Lytechinus pictus: one gene and its partner. The protein of the gene in region 1 interacts with the protein of each later gene in a pairwise test. Links are inferred from orthologs where the notes say so. Each region holds a gene or a part of one and is shown on either strand. Other genes may lie near its edges.

What was found.
Region 2: the proteins of apoptotic chromatin condensation inducer in the nucleus-like (region 1) and apoptosis inhibitor 5-like interact in a two-hybrid assay, tested with the Drosophila melanogaster proteins (2 studies listed by BioGRID). The link is inferred for Lytechinus pictus from reciprocal best matches to the Drosophila melanogaster genes Acn and cass.

The regions. Positions count from the first base shown.
Region 1 is NC_087246.1:59,424,724-59,433,124, reverse strand, and holds the start of apoptotic chromatin condensation inducer in the nucleus-like, read right to left. Parts: upstream 3,968-8,401; 5' UTR 3,859-3,967; coding exon 3,715-3,858; intron 1-3,714.
Region 2 is NC_087253.1:11,011,517-11,019,823, reverse strand, and holds the start of apoptosis inhibitor 5-like, read left to right. Parts: upstream 1-4,390; 5' UTR 4,391-4,536; coding exon 4,537-4,605; intron 4,606-8,307. UniProt on the Drosophila melanogaster protein: Antiapoptotic factor. Also known to efficiently suppress E2F1-induced apoptosis.

The DNA of each region.
Region 1 (8,401 bases):
TATAATCTAAATGTAATGTAAATCACTATATGCAGGGCTGATCATGACAATGGTATCTTCAATCTTGTTACCATACAATTTGAATATCCAATACATTTCAAAATAATATCAAAAGCTAATACTACTATATGCACTCTTTTTTAAATATGGCCAAGGTAAAAATAAAAATGTGACAAAAATCAGAGTAAAAGTTGTAATGGATTGATTATGATGAACATAACTTGGAACTTAAAACTTGGCTTAAATGCCTGCAACTGAAATACTGTTTAACTTTACATGTAATGTACATACAGTATATCAAACTACCAATACTCTTTGATGGCATTACTTCCAGACAACTCATCACTTTGTCCAACTAAGTGCTGTTCAAATGTCTAAATTTGACATTTGAATTTGATATTTATCATATGTATGTTCCATTGTTTCATTTTTTTTAAACTTTCCAAATGCCTCCTGGCTAGAATCACAGAAACATGTACATCCAGGATTTTATGAAATTTATACAGTATCAAGAACTAAGAAGTAATTTTGTTGGTTGAGATAAAACATTGAAATTTGCAATTGAAAGATATATGCAACAAATATTGGTAGAAATGGCTATTAGCAAATATGCCCAGACACACACAAACACCCACACACACAAAGTTCACATATGTAAGAAATTGAGTTGTAATTTTCATATGCTTGCTATAATGTATACGTACATTGTGTGCACTGTACATGTAATTGATTGAAACTCATTGATGTATTATAGATAATGAAATCATACTCAATCAATTTTTAGTAACATTGATAATCACTGTTTATATTCAAAAGATTCCAAAAAATACTATTAAAGTATTATGCCATTACAATTGGATTTGACAATTACTTTAGAAGAAAAGGATCAATTTGTTTAAGAACATTTTTTCTCAACAAAAAAAAAGTTTCGAATACTAGAAATTTAGAAAATGAATAAAATGTCCTCATTTTACAATCATGGTTTACAGTTTGAAAAAAAAATACAAATCTACTGTTCAAACATTTCTATGAAAATATGGCATAAAAATAACGAAGTCAATTTGCACATTTGTTTGCTATGTAGAGAGAATGTGAAGCATGAGAAGAATGTAAAGCATGGGATGAATAAAGGAGTCAATGTAGAAGTGATGAGATCAAAGGAATGTAACATCAAAGGCAGGGTGCTACTGACTGCTACATAAGCACTTGCCCGATTGCCCGGGGCAAGTAAAAGTTATAGTCGGCAAGTGTTTTGAAGTAAAGACCATAACTACTTCTTTCTTCATTTCATTTCTTTTGTTTTATTTCACTAATTTCTTTTATTATATTTGTTTTCTTTTTGTTATATACTTTTTGAAAATTATTTTTGTTTGTTTCCCCCTTTTATGCATTGTTCTAATTTTGCAGCATATTTTTCTGTGATTTTCTCCTTCTATAATATGCTGCAAAAGAGAAAAAAGAAATAAACTGGATTTGGGGCATGCATAATCTAGGTTTTAGGATTCAAAGAGGAAGGAAGGAAAAACCATTGTTTTGTACATCTATCTGACTTTGCTATGCACTATTTATTTACTTTACCATTATCTCTATACAGAGATTTAAAAAAAAGTCCACACAACCTGCGAACAATACAATTCATTTATTCACTTTCAATCATTTCATTTTTACAACGATAGAAACAATTATCAATTAGCAAAGTAAAATAACAGCAAACAAGGTTTACTTACAAGATGTATAAAGTGAAAGGAACTTAGTGGTAGTGGCTGCAGAATGAATATTTCAGAAGTTTGTTTTATTCATTTATAACGTTTTTCTTTATATTTTTCGGGCCACCAAACTTTAATATCGGGCCACCAAAAAAAATTATTTGATGGTTTTGGTGGCCCGAATGGGCCACCACCAAAAAAAGTTAATGTGGAGCCTTGCAATAAATGTTGAATAATCACCCAGAATTAATTCTTCAATGTCGATTAAGAGCTTTCCAGGTCTTTCAAAGCCGAAATTATCTAACTTGTTTGGTACATGTTGAGGAATATCAGACAGACGGTATCATTATCTAGAGGGATTTTCTAATAATTAATTCAAGAAAAGAGCCTCAAAATTTTTTTTTTTAAATCACCATAATTAATTTTAAAGGATATTAAAATGACTACATGTAGATATTTTCTCTCAAACCTCCAAATCCCACCACTCATAAATGGACTATTCTCTGTCTATTTGGGGAATTACTCAATGCACAATGTACTCCTCTGGCCTCTGCAATTTAATGGTGTCACTTGTCACTGAGGTATTGGTAAAATTACATTTCTGACATTATTTCATATAGAAAAGGGCATTACAATCAAAAGAAAGGAGGCATTTCTTTGACCAAAGGGGCATGACGGCCAGAAGGAAAAGGGCAGGTAACTTTATGGCCGTGACAGTGTAACTTTTTTGGGGGGCATGATGGCCAAACAAAGAGGCATCTACGGCCATGGCCGTCAATGGCCCTTTATTAATTCGAGCCCTGCAAGTGCCAGATGATTTTGAGACTAAGCTGAATAACCAATTGGCATTAACTTTGTACACAGCAAGCACACACAGTGACACACACAAGAAATTAATGATATTCAAGATAAGGTCAATGTACATGTCCGAGATAAAATATTTTTTTTAATATACAATTGAGGCTGAATGAAACATAAGTATGATAAGTTAGTATTAGTTTCGACATATTTTTTAGTTGAGTGTGACTGGGTGAGTCACCTCAGAAATTATATGTCATGATTATTAAATTAAATTTTAGGAATTTAGACCCACTTTCATGCCATTTTATATTGACAGTATTTGACACCGACAATGTGGCTCCAGTTTGGGCAACTAAACATGTCACTGAACTCTGTCTCGAGTTTACTTCTTATGGTTACGCATGAGCCCGAGAAAGCAGAGACAGTTGGCAAAATGCTGCTGGGCCTGGGGATGCGCTAATGCAATTTCGCATCATCATGATCATCTGCTGATTTCACGCGAATTTCCCCACCAGAAATTGTTCAAAAATATCATGGCAAGTCCCTCAATCACCTTTAAAGGTCAATCTGCCCACTGCTTTCCCGAATATCGCAATCAGGAACAGCTGTATTTCACGTTCAGCTTCAATCTCGACATCATTTGTCGAATTCTCAGTCAGACAGCTCGACAGACATCACTTCCTTCGCTGCCTTGGCTTTGCCGTAATTTTATATGGACTGACATTAAGTTATCGACCAAATCATGTGAACTTGTGGCGAACAAACAGAAGACCTGACGCAGGCAATTTTGGTCGATAACTTAAAATACAAGCGAAATGATGTCTGACTCTGACTGAGAATTCAAACAATAACGTCGTCGTCGCGTCGAGAAGACGAGATCGGAGGCGTTCCCGATATTTGGAAAAGCGGTGGGCATATTATTAATTAACCACAAATGTGACTGAGAGACTTGCCACGACATTTGTGAATAAATTTCTGGTGAGGAAATTTGCTTGAAACCAGCCGGTGCGAAACTGCATTAGCGCCGCTGCGGCTGCAGCCATGTCTCGGTAAGGCCAAGGCACATATCCCCGAGTTGGACGCCCTGGCAATGGGCACGGAGTACTGAGCCCGGGAGGGACGCTGGAAATGGCCCACGCGAGAGGGTAATTTTCGATCTCCCTCGACTTTTAACGTGAGAAGCCCCTTTTCTGCGAAACTTTCTTACCGCTTTAAGACGTTCCGCGAGCTGACTCTTGCTACCAATTTGTGACACGCCATACTTCTTCAATTCTTGCTTCAGATCAACAACTCGAAGTTGCTCAATCGACCTGCCGTCGGGAAGCGTTGTAACTCTCTTCTGTTCGGCCATTTTGGAAACACAGCGGTAAAGAAGACGCGCGAGCGGAAGCTGGGCGCGCGCCCTAGCATGCACGTGAAAACTGTCGAAACGTACACTGTCCGATGGTCCGATCCGATCATGGAAATAAAAGGAAGTTATGACAAAATAAAAGTTACATGCATAGGCGGATCCAGGGGGGCCCGAGGAGATCGGGCCCCCCTATTGGCGGAGCAAAAAAAAGGGGGAAAGAAAGGAAAAAAGAAAAGAAAGGGAAGAAAGCTAGAGGAAAAACGAAGAGCAAAATAAGAGGAGGGAGACGGCGAGTGAAAAAAAATAAGGTCAGGGGATGCCGACTTGGAAAATGATTAAAACATAATATATAGGCCCTATTTCATGTCATTATTAAATTTTCGCTCGCGCTTCGCGCTCGCATAGCCTGTTCGATGAGATTATCTTGCTCACTGATAGGCTGATATGTAGCTTAAAATATCAAGTTTTGAAGTCAATATACAAAACATATTTCAGCTCGGACATGGAGCTTTTATTATTTTGTTTGATTTACAAATTGATTTTTTTTTTAGTGCTCTGCATGTCCGTTTTATAGTGTGAACATCATTTGCAGCTTTATGCGCTGTGCGCTGGCGTTATTTGATTTGTCAAGTAGGCCTACATATATTGTCTTTGTTTATTCCATAAGATTCTTTATATATAATAATTATTTAACAAACTACTTAAAATCCCCCTTTTATGACAGTTTATCAATAATTTCGTCTCGCAATTTGCGCTTATAATAATAGTTAAAAATATATCAACTCATAAATCCTATTCATGATTACAAAAGTGCTTAGAATATGGAGGTTTTAGGCTTCAAATGTCAACAAATTTCACTCACTCATTACGCTCATATATGATAATAAAATTTTCATGAATTACTAATAACTAAATTGTCCCTTTTTCAGAAAGGAATATCGACAAGTTTCATATCGCGCGTATATAGGAAGAGGAAGAGGAAAATAGTAATCAGTTTCATATGATGACGAAATGTCCTTAGGCCTAGAATGTCCTGGTGAGTGTTTTATCAACATTTTCATCCGACAAGTTGTCAGATCTGACATCTTTCTCTGATGTTGATTGGCTGAGAGGTACTGTTACTATGTTAACTGTCGGATAAAATGGGACTTGTCGGATAAAACGTCCGACAAGTCCTTTCATGAAACGCTCCCCAGGTCCTAAGTCAAAATAATAATAAAAATATCAGCTCGCGCTTCGCACCCCAGGACCAAAATCCAATTGAAACCAGTTGGATTTTCAACTGGTTTTAATTGGTTTCAATTGGTTTCAACTGGTTTCAATTGGTTTTAACTGGACTTCAACAATTTCCAGTTAAAACCAATTGAAACCAGTTGGGCAACCGTGGAAATCCTAACTGGAACCAGTTGGGTAACTGGAAATGACTTCCGACTGGAAATGATTTCTAACTGGAACCAGTTGGGTAACTGGAAATCCTAACTGGAACCAGTTGGGCAACTGGAAATCCTAACTGGAACCAGTTGGGTAACTGGAAATGACTTCCAACTGGAAATGATTTCTAATTAACTGGAACCAGTTGGGTAACTGGAAATCCTAACTGGAACCAGTTGGGCAACTGGAGATCCTAATTGGAACCAGTTGGGTAACTGGAAATGACTTCCAACTGGAAATGATTTCTAACTGGAACCAGTTGGGTAACTGGAGATGACTTCTAACTGGAAAGATGGGTAACTGGAAATGACTTCCGACTGGAAATGATTTCTAACTGGAACCAGTTGGGTAACTGGAAATCCTAACTGGAACCAGTTGGGCAACTGGAAATCCTAACTGGAACCAGTTGGGTAACTGGAAATGACTTCCAACTGGAAATGATTTCTAATTAACTGGAACCAGTTGGGTAACTGGAAATCCTAACTGGAACCAGTTGGGCAACTGGAGATCCTAATTGGAACCAGTTGGGTAACTGGAAATGACTTCCAACTGGAAATGATTTCTAACTGGAACCAGTTGGGTAACTGGAAATCCTAACTGGGACCAGTTGGGCAACTGGAAGTCCAAACTGGAACCAATTGGGTAACTGGAGATGACTTCTAACTGGAAAGATGGGTAACTGGAAATGACTTCCAACTGGAAATGATTTCTAACTGGAACCAGTTGGGTAACTGGAAATCCTAACTGGAACCAGTTGGGCAACTTAAATTCCTAACTGGACCCAGTTGGGCAACTGGAAATGACTTCCAACTGGAAATGATTTCTAACTGGAACCAGTTAGGTAACTGGAAATCCTAACTGGAACCAGTTGGGTATTAAACTGGAAATAAAACGCGATCCAGTTGGGTAACTGGAAATGATTTCCAATTGGTTTCCAATTGGAAATTTTCCAGTTACCCAACTGGATCCAATTGAAACCAGTTAATTTGCATATTATCTGCCAGTGTGCACAGATTAATGTTTTATGAGATTCATCATCATTTACAATGTATCTATTTAATTCTTTTCAATTTCAAGTACCACACTTTTTTAGGATAAGTGTTTATAATACTTAGCAGTGAAAACCATGTTCATAAATGTTATAGATTATATAATTAAAACAGATTCAAAGATAATTAGTACACCATGCACTAACTGTTACCAAATTACATCAAACAAAAATACATATATTTGAAGATCTTCCATATAAATATATAACATATGAAAGTCTGTATTTTATCAATGCCCTTTACATTGGTATATTAATAGACATATAACACTGCTTCTGTGTTGGCATGAGCAATAGTTATAGTGCAAATGCTAATTAATTTGTAACTAATTAAGTTCATTCCAACTGGAAGTTCCAATTGGATCCAGTTGGAAACCAACTGGTTTCAACTGGTTCCAGTTGAAACCAGTTGCCTCCAATTGGTTTCAACTGGAACCAATTGAAACCAGTTGCCTCCAATTGGATTCAATTGGTTTTAATAGGGAAATTGGAACAACTGGAACCAATTGAAACCAATTGCCAACTGGTTCCAGTTGCCCAATTGGTTTTAACTGGAACCAATTGGCAACTGGTTTTCAATTGGAACCAATTGGCAACTGGTTTTCAATTGGAACCAATTGGCAACTGTTTTTCAATTGGAACCAGTTGTTCCAATTTCCCTATTGAAACCAGTTGGCCAACTGGTTTCAATTGGTTTTGCTCTAATTGGTTTTAACTGGATTTTGGTCCTGGGACTCGCATCATTTCTTAAGTGCTATTCACATACACATCACAATTTCCATCAGTGCTTTAGATAGTGCTTAAATTCGCTCTTTTCATACCGGAATATCAAATATTTTCCGCTCGCGCTTCGAGCTCGCATTATTGATTTTCATGATAAAAAATGAAATGTATTCAGAATGCCCAGATTCTGTCTAACTCTAAAACACGCGCACACATACGCAGCTTGATCTTTATTCAAAACGTGCTAAGAGCGCTCTCATCATTAATGTAGGAACTTCCTTTTCATGATTTACAAAACATGAATAGAGTGTCCAATTTTTAGGTCTGAAATCTCAAATCTTTTAGCTGGCGCTTCGCGCTCGCATCAATTGTTTAGTTTTATACCTATACCGTTTATTTCAAAAAGTGCTAAGAATGTCAATTTTTTATAGGTCGGAATGTCAAAAAAAATCAGCTCGCGCTTCGCGCTAGCATTATCTAAATGTTGAAATATGTATCGTCTTAATGGCTAACTGCAAATCGTCCTTAATAGGTCCCTTTTTGCGCGTGATCAAGCCTTAACCCATATTAAAAATTTCTGCTCGCGCTCGCAGTAATTATGTAATTACATACGCATCTTGTTCAGGTTCACAAACATTGCCCAGTATATTCCAAAAATATTCAGCTCGCGCTTCGCGCTCGCACTATTCAAATAGGGCATATGAGATTATTACACTTTTTAAATGTTGTTTTATAAGAATAAAGCAAAGAAATTACTGTTAGGACATCGGCATTTTGCCCCCCCCCCCAAAAAAAAAAGGAATAAGTGTGACTATAAGCCTATCATTTTTCAAATGTTATGTAAAAATCTATCACAAACTTTGATTTTAGTATTCAAAATGTCAAAATTTTTGCTCGCAACTCTTATTAATTTTATGTGATATGCCGTATTAAGCCCCTCATTTTTTTAGGCTCATTGCGCCACTGAGACAACCCCTTCAAAGAAACAAACAAAAATCAACTTTGAGCGGCCGATCGGGGAAAAATGCATGAAAAGCAATTTGGGCCCACCCCCTATTGGAGCTGGATCCGCCCCTGATTATGCACAGCAACCTGGTCGGTATGCAAATGAGGAAACTTATGATGTCATCCAACTCACTATTTCTTTTATGAAAAATGAAATTTTCGAATTTTTTCCTCATTGACAAGTGAAACAACGATTAATTCCTCCCTGAACATGTGTAATAAGCTCTGTTTAATTATGGTTCAGTCAAGTTCAAATCTGTAAAAAATGAAATATTGCATAATTCAAACAATGAAAAATAAAAGAAATTGTGAGTGAGGGACATCATCGACTGTCTA
Region 2 (8,307 bases), on another chromosome or scaffold:
TGAAAGCCTTATTAAAGTGTGTGGATCCCTGACAGCTCCCTTCCCCTTTGAGAAAGGAATACGACAGGGATGCCCTCTATCAGGGTTGCTATATACTCTCGCCATTGAGCCTCTCCTGAACTCACTAAGAGAGAACGTGTCAAATCATGCATTAAATATCCCTGCTATTAACAAACGTTGTGTAGTATCTGCATATGCAGACGATGTATCGATATTTGTTACAGCCGATGCTGGCTTTGAATTAGTTGAACAAACTTACAATATGTTTAGTCTGGCCTCTGCTGCATGTTTAAATACAAAAAAATCACAAGGCCTTTGGGTCGGCCGTTGGAAAGGGCGGAATGATAAACCCCTCAACTTTTTTTGGAATAGTGAAGGTCTCCCTTTTTTAGGAGTTCATTTAGGGAACACCTTTAATTATTCTAAACAAAACTGGATTAAATGTAAAGAAAGACTTAATAAGACTTTCATTTCGTGGTCTCGTTTATCGAACTCACTCTCATTTAAAGGCAAGGTATTGATTGCAAACCAGCTCGCTGCATCAAAAATATTTCATGTTCTTGCAGTTCTTTCTCCTCCTGAAAATGTATTAAACGAACTTCAGAATTTAATTGTGAATTTTATCTGGTCAAATAAGCGGCACTGGTTAAAGAAAGAAGTGTTGTATGAAAAACCTGACGAAGGAGGGCTGGGGCTAGCTTGTCTCCAAGCTCGTGTTCTAACTTACAGATTTTCGATTATTCAACGGTTTCTTTCGTTAAATTCTCATCCAGTAAATGACTTTATGGCTCATTTTCTGAGACAGTATTGTAAATTAGGATTTGATTACCATTTGTTCTTTACAAGAATTGATCCTAAGTTTTACACAAGTCTTCCAGTTTACTATAGTGAAGTCCTGCGAGCTTGGTTGACATCTGGAGCTCGAATTGTGACACAATCCCTCTCTTTCAGCCATGCAATTAACATGCCCTTAAGTAGTTTTCATATTATTGATGCAATTGATGTTGATAATTTTTTTCCGACGCGCCTGATGGCATGCGGAGTGAAACTAGTTCGCCATTTGATAAACCACTCAACCGGTCTTTGGATTAAGAGTAGCTGTCTCCAAAAGAACCTTCCAAGAGGACTTCGACAACCATCATCGCGTCTCATCGAACGTGAAACATTACTCATTCGAACTGCACTCTCTAAAGTTTTTCCTACATATTTTAATGACTCAGGCTGTCAACACGAATACTCTGATTTATTGTCTGTTCCAGTAACTCCGATCAACTTCACTCTGGCTTCTTCCGAAAATGGACTTACTGCTTCTTCTAAAGCCATCTACACAATCTACAGGAAAGAACTAGATAACACGACAATCTCATCAAGCTCACATTGGCATGATACTGGATTTCTCGATCCATCTACAAAAGTGAACTGGCTATCTATCTATCAACTACCAACACCTAAAAAAGAGGCTGATATTCAATACAAACTCCTTCACAATATTTTACCGTCGCTCACTGTACTCCATCATCTTAATACAGACATTTCTTCTTTTTGCGGATGGTGCGGAGAAGCAGGAACCATTCAACATCTGTTCATCGAATGTAAAGGAATTCAACCCCCTCTCAATCTTCTTCATAGACTGTTGAACAATCTCCTCCCCTCTCTCAAACTTAATTTTGACCTGTACTGGGCACTCATTCCGCATGCCAGAGGGCGTGACGGAAAGATTATCCGCCTTGCTAATTTCCTTATTATTAGTTTAAAAAGTACAATTTATTTTATGTACCGTACCTCAAATTTCACCGATCCACTTATAATTTGGTTACATCGTCTCAAAAACAGAATACTCTATGAATTTACTTATTACAAATTATGTTCTAATATTGATGCTTTTTCACGTAAATGGTGTATGAATAGATTACTTTTTACAATTAACGAGGGCAGCATTGCATGGCTCATTTAAACATTTGATTTTATAACTCTGTGCTTGTAATCAACCTGATCTCATTTGAATGTTTATGTCAAACTATTCTTTTATTATATACCTGACTTTTGTGATTATAATTTGTAAATAAAGTTTTCATTTGAAAAGTCAAAAAAAAAGTCTTTCTTTCTTTCTTTCTTTCTTTCTTTCTTTCTTTCTTTCTTTCTTTCTTTCTTTCTTTCTTTCTTTCTTTCTTTCTTTCTTTCTTTCTTTCTTTCTTTCTTTCCTTCCACCTTCTTTGTCCTTTCTTGTTTTGTATTGTTTTGCTTTAGTTTGATCTTGGTTTTATGCCTATTGGGTGAATTAAGGGGGTTCGGGTGTCAGTGCGATTTCGTTTCGTTTTGGTGTTCAACTGAATGTATGTGGGTGTATGGGGCGTGGAGCACTCGATTCTCTTCAATTTTTTATATTACAAATTTCATTTAGTTTCACTAAACGTTGAGCAATATTTTTTTTATGCATAACTATGAAAGCTCTTGTGAATTTTTTTAAACATTTTTTTTACGAAAATCATCCGCCTGTGTGAATATGTCAAAATACAGTAATTTTTGTATGATTTTCTGTACTATGATCTATTTGTCTTTGGTGAACAGTGTTTGTGCTGATATTGTAAAACATTTTGCGATGTACCATTAGGCCTACTATAATACGATTTGAAGTGAATGATTTTAATAAATGAAGAGTATGGTTGCAAAAGGTTAGATCCACTTTGGACGATTCTGAGAAAAATCATGTTTTTTATTCTCCCATATTGCAATCAAATTACACTCATGATGTAGGCCTACTATACCCTATAATGTGAACTAAAATTGGGTATTAAAAATCTTCCTATCTTCAAGTTTTTTTGATACATATCTTTAAAGGGATGGTCCAGGCTAAAAGTATTTATAGTTTAATAAATAGAGTAGAATTCACTGAGCAAAATGCCGAAATTTTCATCAAAATCGGTTAACAAATAACAAAGTTATTGAAGTTTAAAGTTTAGCAATATTTTGTGAAAACAGTCGTCATGAGTATTCATTAGGTGGGCTGATGATGTCACATCCCCACTTATTCTTTTTTATTTTATTATATGAAATTAGGTTTATTCAATTTTTTTCCTCCAAGAACTGATTTAGTGCAATAAATATTTATTGCTGCAACTTACTTAATTATAAGGGAGACATATTATTCACACAAGTATGAAATAATGAAAAAATTATGATTTTATGTAATAACATAAGAAAACGGAAAGTGCACTGTGATGTGACATCATCAGCCCACCTAATGAATATTCATGACGACTGTTTTCACAAAATATTGCTTAAATTTTAAACTTCAATAACTTTATTAATTGTTATCCGATTTTGATGAAATGTTAGGCGCTTGCTCAGTGAATTCTACTCAATGTATTAAGATATAAATATTTTCAGGCCGGACCATTATCATTGTGGATCTAACCCCTTTTGCAAGCAAACTGAAATGAATCCAATCCCTTTTGAATAAAAAGAGTGATTTTTCTTTGCCACATTTACTCACATTTCAAATTTTCTTTGTTATAATCAGAGCGACTAAAAATATAGAGGTTCTGAGACAAAAAACCCCAATAAAATCAATTCCTTTTGACAAATGAGCTCTTCAGATGAGTTAGGTTCCAAAATAGGGGTTATTATAGATCCACTCCGAGGAAATCAGTTTTTTATTCTCCCATATTGCAATATTCTTATGCGACTGACTAAATTTTTGTGATACCCTAATACCATGTAAACATAAAATTGGTTATAGAAATTGGTTAAAGAAATCTAACCGTCTTCATATTTTTTAAATTACTTTTTTCCAAACAAAATCTTTGTGGATCTAATCCAGTGGCGTACCTAGGATTTTCCACAGGGGGGGGGGGCAAAACCGTTCGCCAAAAAATTTGACAAGCAAAAAAAAAAGTCTTCAATCACAAATAAAGGATTTCGTACCAGAAAAAAAATTGACAAGCAAAAAAAAAAAAAAAGGTCTTCAAGCTCGTCAGGGGGGGGGGGGGCAATAAAAGTATTCAAGCTCGTGAGGGAGGCAAAAAAGGTCTTTCAAGCTCGTCAGGGGGGGGGGGCAGGGATACGTCCTTTGCATGGGTTGTGGCTCGTCAGGGGGGGGGGGCAGACTGCCCCCTTGCCCCCCCCCCCCGTAGGTACGCTAGTGATCTAATCCCTTTTGCAACCAAATAAATGGATCTTACCCCTTTTGTTAAAAAGGGTGATTTTTCTTTGCCATTTTTGTTCACTTTTTATTGGGAAATTCAACTTTTCCTTGGTATCATTTTAGAGAGCTACTGAAAGTCTATACATTGAGACAAACAAAATTTGATGAAAAATTGATCTATAGCCCCTTTTGCAACTGACCCCTTCAAAATTAATACTTCATGTACGTACAGTATACAAAAATATCATGCTACTAACGATAGATGGCGCTAAAGTTGTGAAAAGCTCGCGTTGCGCTAATTAATTCGCGAGACGTGTTATTTGGGCATTTTTCTAGGGACCGATTTTCGAGTTAAACTTCAGTTAATTCCTTGATCCAATTTATGTTCGATCATGGTAACTATTGAACAACTTTACAAGGATTATGAGGTCCTTGCCGAAGCTGGAACAGATGCCGGGAAGGTAAGCGCGAGAGCCAGATTGATAGCTTTTCGATGGGTGCAACTCTGATAATTGTTAGTTTTCGTTAGGCTACACGTTAACGCAATATGAATTTGTGTGCACGTAGATTATAAATAGAACAAAACAATGACGGTGTATCCGGTCACCCTCTTAAAAAGTCTTATGATCGAAGACGAAGTTGAAAGTCAGGGCGCAAATGCAGTTTCGTCCCGGGTGACTTAGCCAGGAGACTCCTAACAAGTTAGAGAGTAAAAATCATTTCTAACGTATGCTTTAACGTTACTAGGGTGTCTAAAGCCACACTGAAAAGTGTCAGCATAAGACGGGCTGATTTAGGGGAAAATATGGCACATTTTTTTCGGGAAGTTCAGGCTACTACTTTTGTACTAGAAAAATGTGATCTGAATTGATTGTTAACTTGTGTTTGGCATGTATGGAAAGAGAAAATTTAGGGGCTTCTTTTGACAGTAAGGACAAGTTTATATGATCATTTTAAATAAGGATTTAGATAACATTGATTTAGAGATAAATTTCAAACCCTTAATTTATTTTTGTGTGTGTTGAGATTGCCATTTCCCCATGCGTTTTCTATGGGAAAATTAATTTTCTGTTTTGCACAATTTTCTCACTTTGTCGCAATTTTTCATTGTGATCTGGTTTCCAAATCTTTATAAAAATCATACCATCAGAAAGAGCATAAAAAATCCTATTGGATTCTTTATTGAAAAGTTTTTGGCATTAATAATGAATTTATAACAGTCAGTAGGTATGTGCGAATACGGGCGCATGGCGAGCGCTGGTTTTGGCTGCACGGTTTTCGCGCGGGTTTCGCTGCAAGTGGCATCGCCTCTGTCTGGGAGGCTCATCGAAAATGGGGTTTCATGCGCATGCGCACATAGTTGATGCAATCTCGTGCCTTGATACAGACAGTTGAAAATGTGCTCTTTGTACATATAAGTTTCAATGTGGATACTCGCCTGTTAAGTGTGGATATCGGAGCTTGAAAGTTCATCAAATTTTTGGATGCGCAAATGATCGAAATTTTTTAATGGTAAGTAGAACTACGATCCAATTATGTATCTGAATTGTTATAGAATATATTCAAATCAACAAAAAAATTAAAATTAAAAGATTCTATCATTGAGCTGTCCAGATATAAGAGAAGCGAGCTACCCTTGTCACAGCCGGTCTCTCGGCAGTCGAGCTTCCCGATGCGGTGGGCTCCCGTCCGTCTTTCAGCAGTCGAGCTACCGGTACCCGATGCGGAGGGCTTGGTGACGGGAGCGGTCGATAGTGAGTCGTTCATGCTGGATTGAACTGGATCTAAATTGTTTACTTGATAATATTGTGCCTTTTTCTGAAAATGTCTGTCATTATACCGTAGATTGTTATTCTGATATTGATTTAAATATATACATTTTGTCACAAAAACATTCTTTCCTCCTAAGGTTATAGAGTCAACATGTTTTACTTTGATTGTTCAATCATGTTTTATCATTTGGAAACTGGATTCTTTTGGAAGTGGAATATTAATGTTGACTTATTAAATTAAAATGCAAAATCTATAGTGTTTCTTTTTTTTCTTTTGTAGAAAAAAAATATATTTTGAAACTTTTCAATCATGTTTCATTATTTTGAGACTGAATTTGCTTTTGAAAGGGGAATATCATAAATGTTGACTTTTTAATTAAAATGCAAAAATTGTTATTTTTTCAGTTTCTTTTTTTATATATTTTTTAAAGTTTCTTTTTTAAATTATTGTATTGTTTATTTTTTCATTTTTGGGGGGTCATATTTCATTATTAGGAGACTGGATTTGCTTTTGAAAGGAGAATATCTTAAATGTTGATTTTTTTTATTAAAATGCACGAACTAGATGTTGTTTATTTTTTTGTTGTAATTTTTTTCACTCTTGTAAGAAAATACATGAAAACTCAGAGGAAAGAATATTTCATTTCCAGATGGGTCTAAGTCATGTATTTATGTTTTCTTTATTATTAATTTTACTATTTATTTTTTTATTCACTTTTCTTTTTTTTAGGGGCGCAGGTGGGGGTTGTGTTTTGAATTGGAAAATGGGGATGGGATTGGTACAAGTTTTTGTGTCACTTTTGTTTCTCTTGTTTTTAGTGCTTGTTTGGAGCTTTGATGTCTGTTTTGTTGTTGTTTAGAGCTTTGTTATATATTTTTTCTGGTTGTTTTTTGTTTTGTTTTGAAAGAAATAGACCACTCTTTTCCTTTTCTTTTGGCTTCGACTAATAATTTGAATTTATTTATTTTTCTTTAAAAAGAGAGCTCAAACAGGGCCTTAGTAATACAATGTATGTATACAAATATAAGACATTGACAACTGATAGAATATATTAAAACTTAATTTTCGTCCTTCTTGATACTTGAAATAAATTGCATACAATTCTACATACATATTTTACACTCAGCTGCTCATTCCTTCTAAAAAAATGTAATCACATGTCCATTGTCTCTCAAGTCAAAAGCTACATATTATACATGTATAACAAATTGTTGAAACAATAGAATACATAAGGAATTGGTGAAACAATCAAAATCATCAGAAAAAAGCACACATATTTTTATTTGGTCATACAAAGTACAAAAGAAAATGTTTTATATGTAAAAAAGGACCCCCGTACATACACATACAAAATTACAATACTAAGTTGAAAAAGGGCTTGTAATTTATATCAGAAAAACAAAGAAATACATTAGAAATTACAATAACAATACTTTAGACAAATTCATTTAGGAAATTATCTACATGATGCTGTCTTGATGCCAACTAAATTATATGAATTATCTATCATAATCACCTTCATTTGGCAAAAAAAGAGGCGAGTAATTGTGATTTTGTGTTATTTGCATAATTAATTAGAATTAATCAGAAGAAATTATTTTACACATAATAAGAAAAATTACAAGATGAATCGATATACATCAATTGAGCATTCTCTCACCTTTCCATTGATACCTAAATTACTTCATAGGACTCAAAAACAAAGAAGTTAGAACCTGTTGAAGACTTGGGTTCAAAATGGTCACAAAATGGTCACAAAAATGGGTTCTGTACTCCATTGACTTTACATTAAGACAATAACCACAAATTTGGATGAATATGCGCAACTTAAACTGGAATAACTTTCTAATTTCTTGATGAAAATTAAAGTTCTTGGTATCATTTTAAAGGTCTTTTTAAGAGCTTTCAAGTGATACCAAATTTATTCATATTTGATGATTTTCATTTTTTTTGTCACATACCTAATAACAGCTCTCGGAAGCTAGAAATTTGGATTTGTGTGTGTCCATTTCTTAACTACACAGTCTATGGGTGGCAGAGAAATGCTGAAAATTGACCTAATTTCATTCTTTTTTGCAGCCAATAATCAGATTTTTTTTCAAAAATGTTACATTTCTGTCAGTCTGAACTCTGAAGGTAATTTCTCTTCAAATTCACAAAGAAAATGTGATATTTTCTTGAAATAAGAAAAATAATATTTTTCTCCAGACACCCTAACGTTACCCTCGATGGAGCCAGGATTTCCTTCCCATTCATTTGTGTGTACCATAACTACTCATTACGAACTACCAAGTAGGATTAGCCAGGCGGCTTCTAGAGAGTAAAAATCATTTACTAACGTAAGGTTACTCTCATACGAAGCCAGGACTTCTACCTCATAGACCCACACA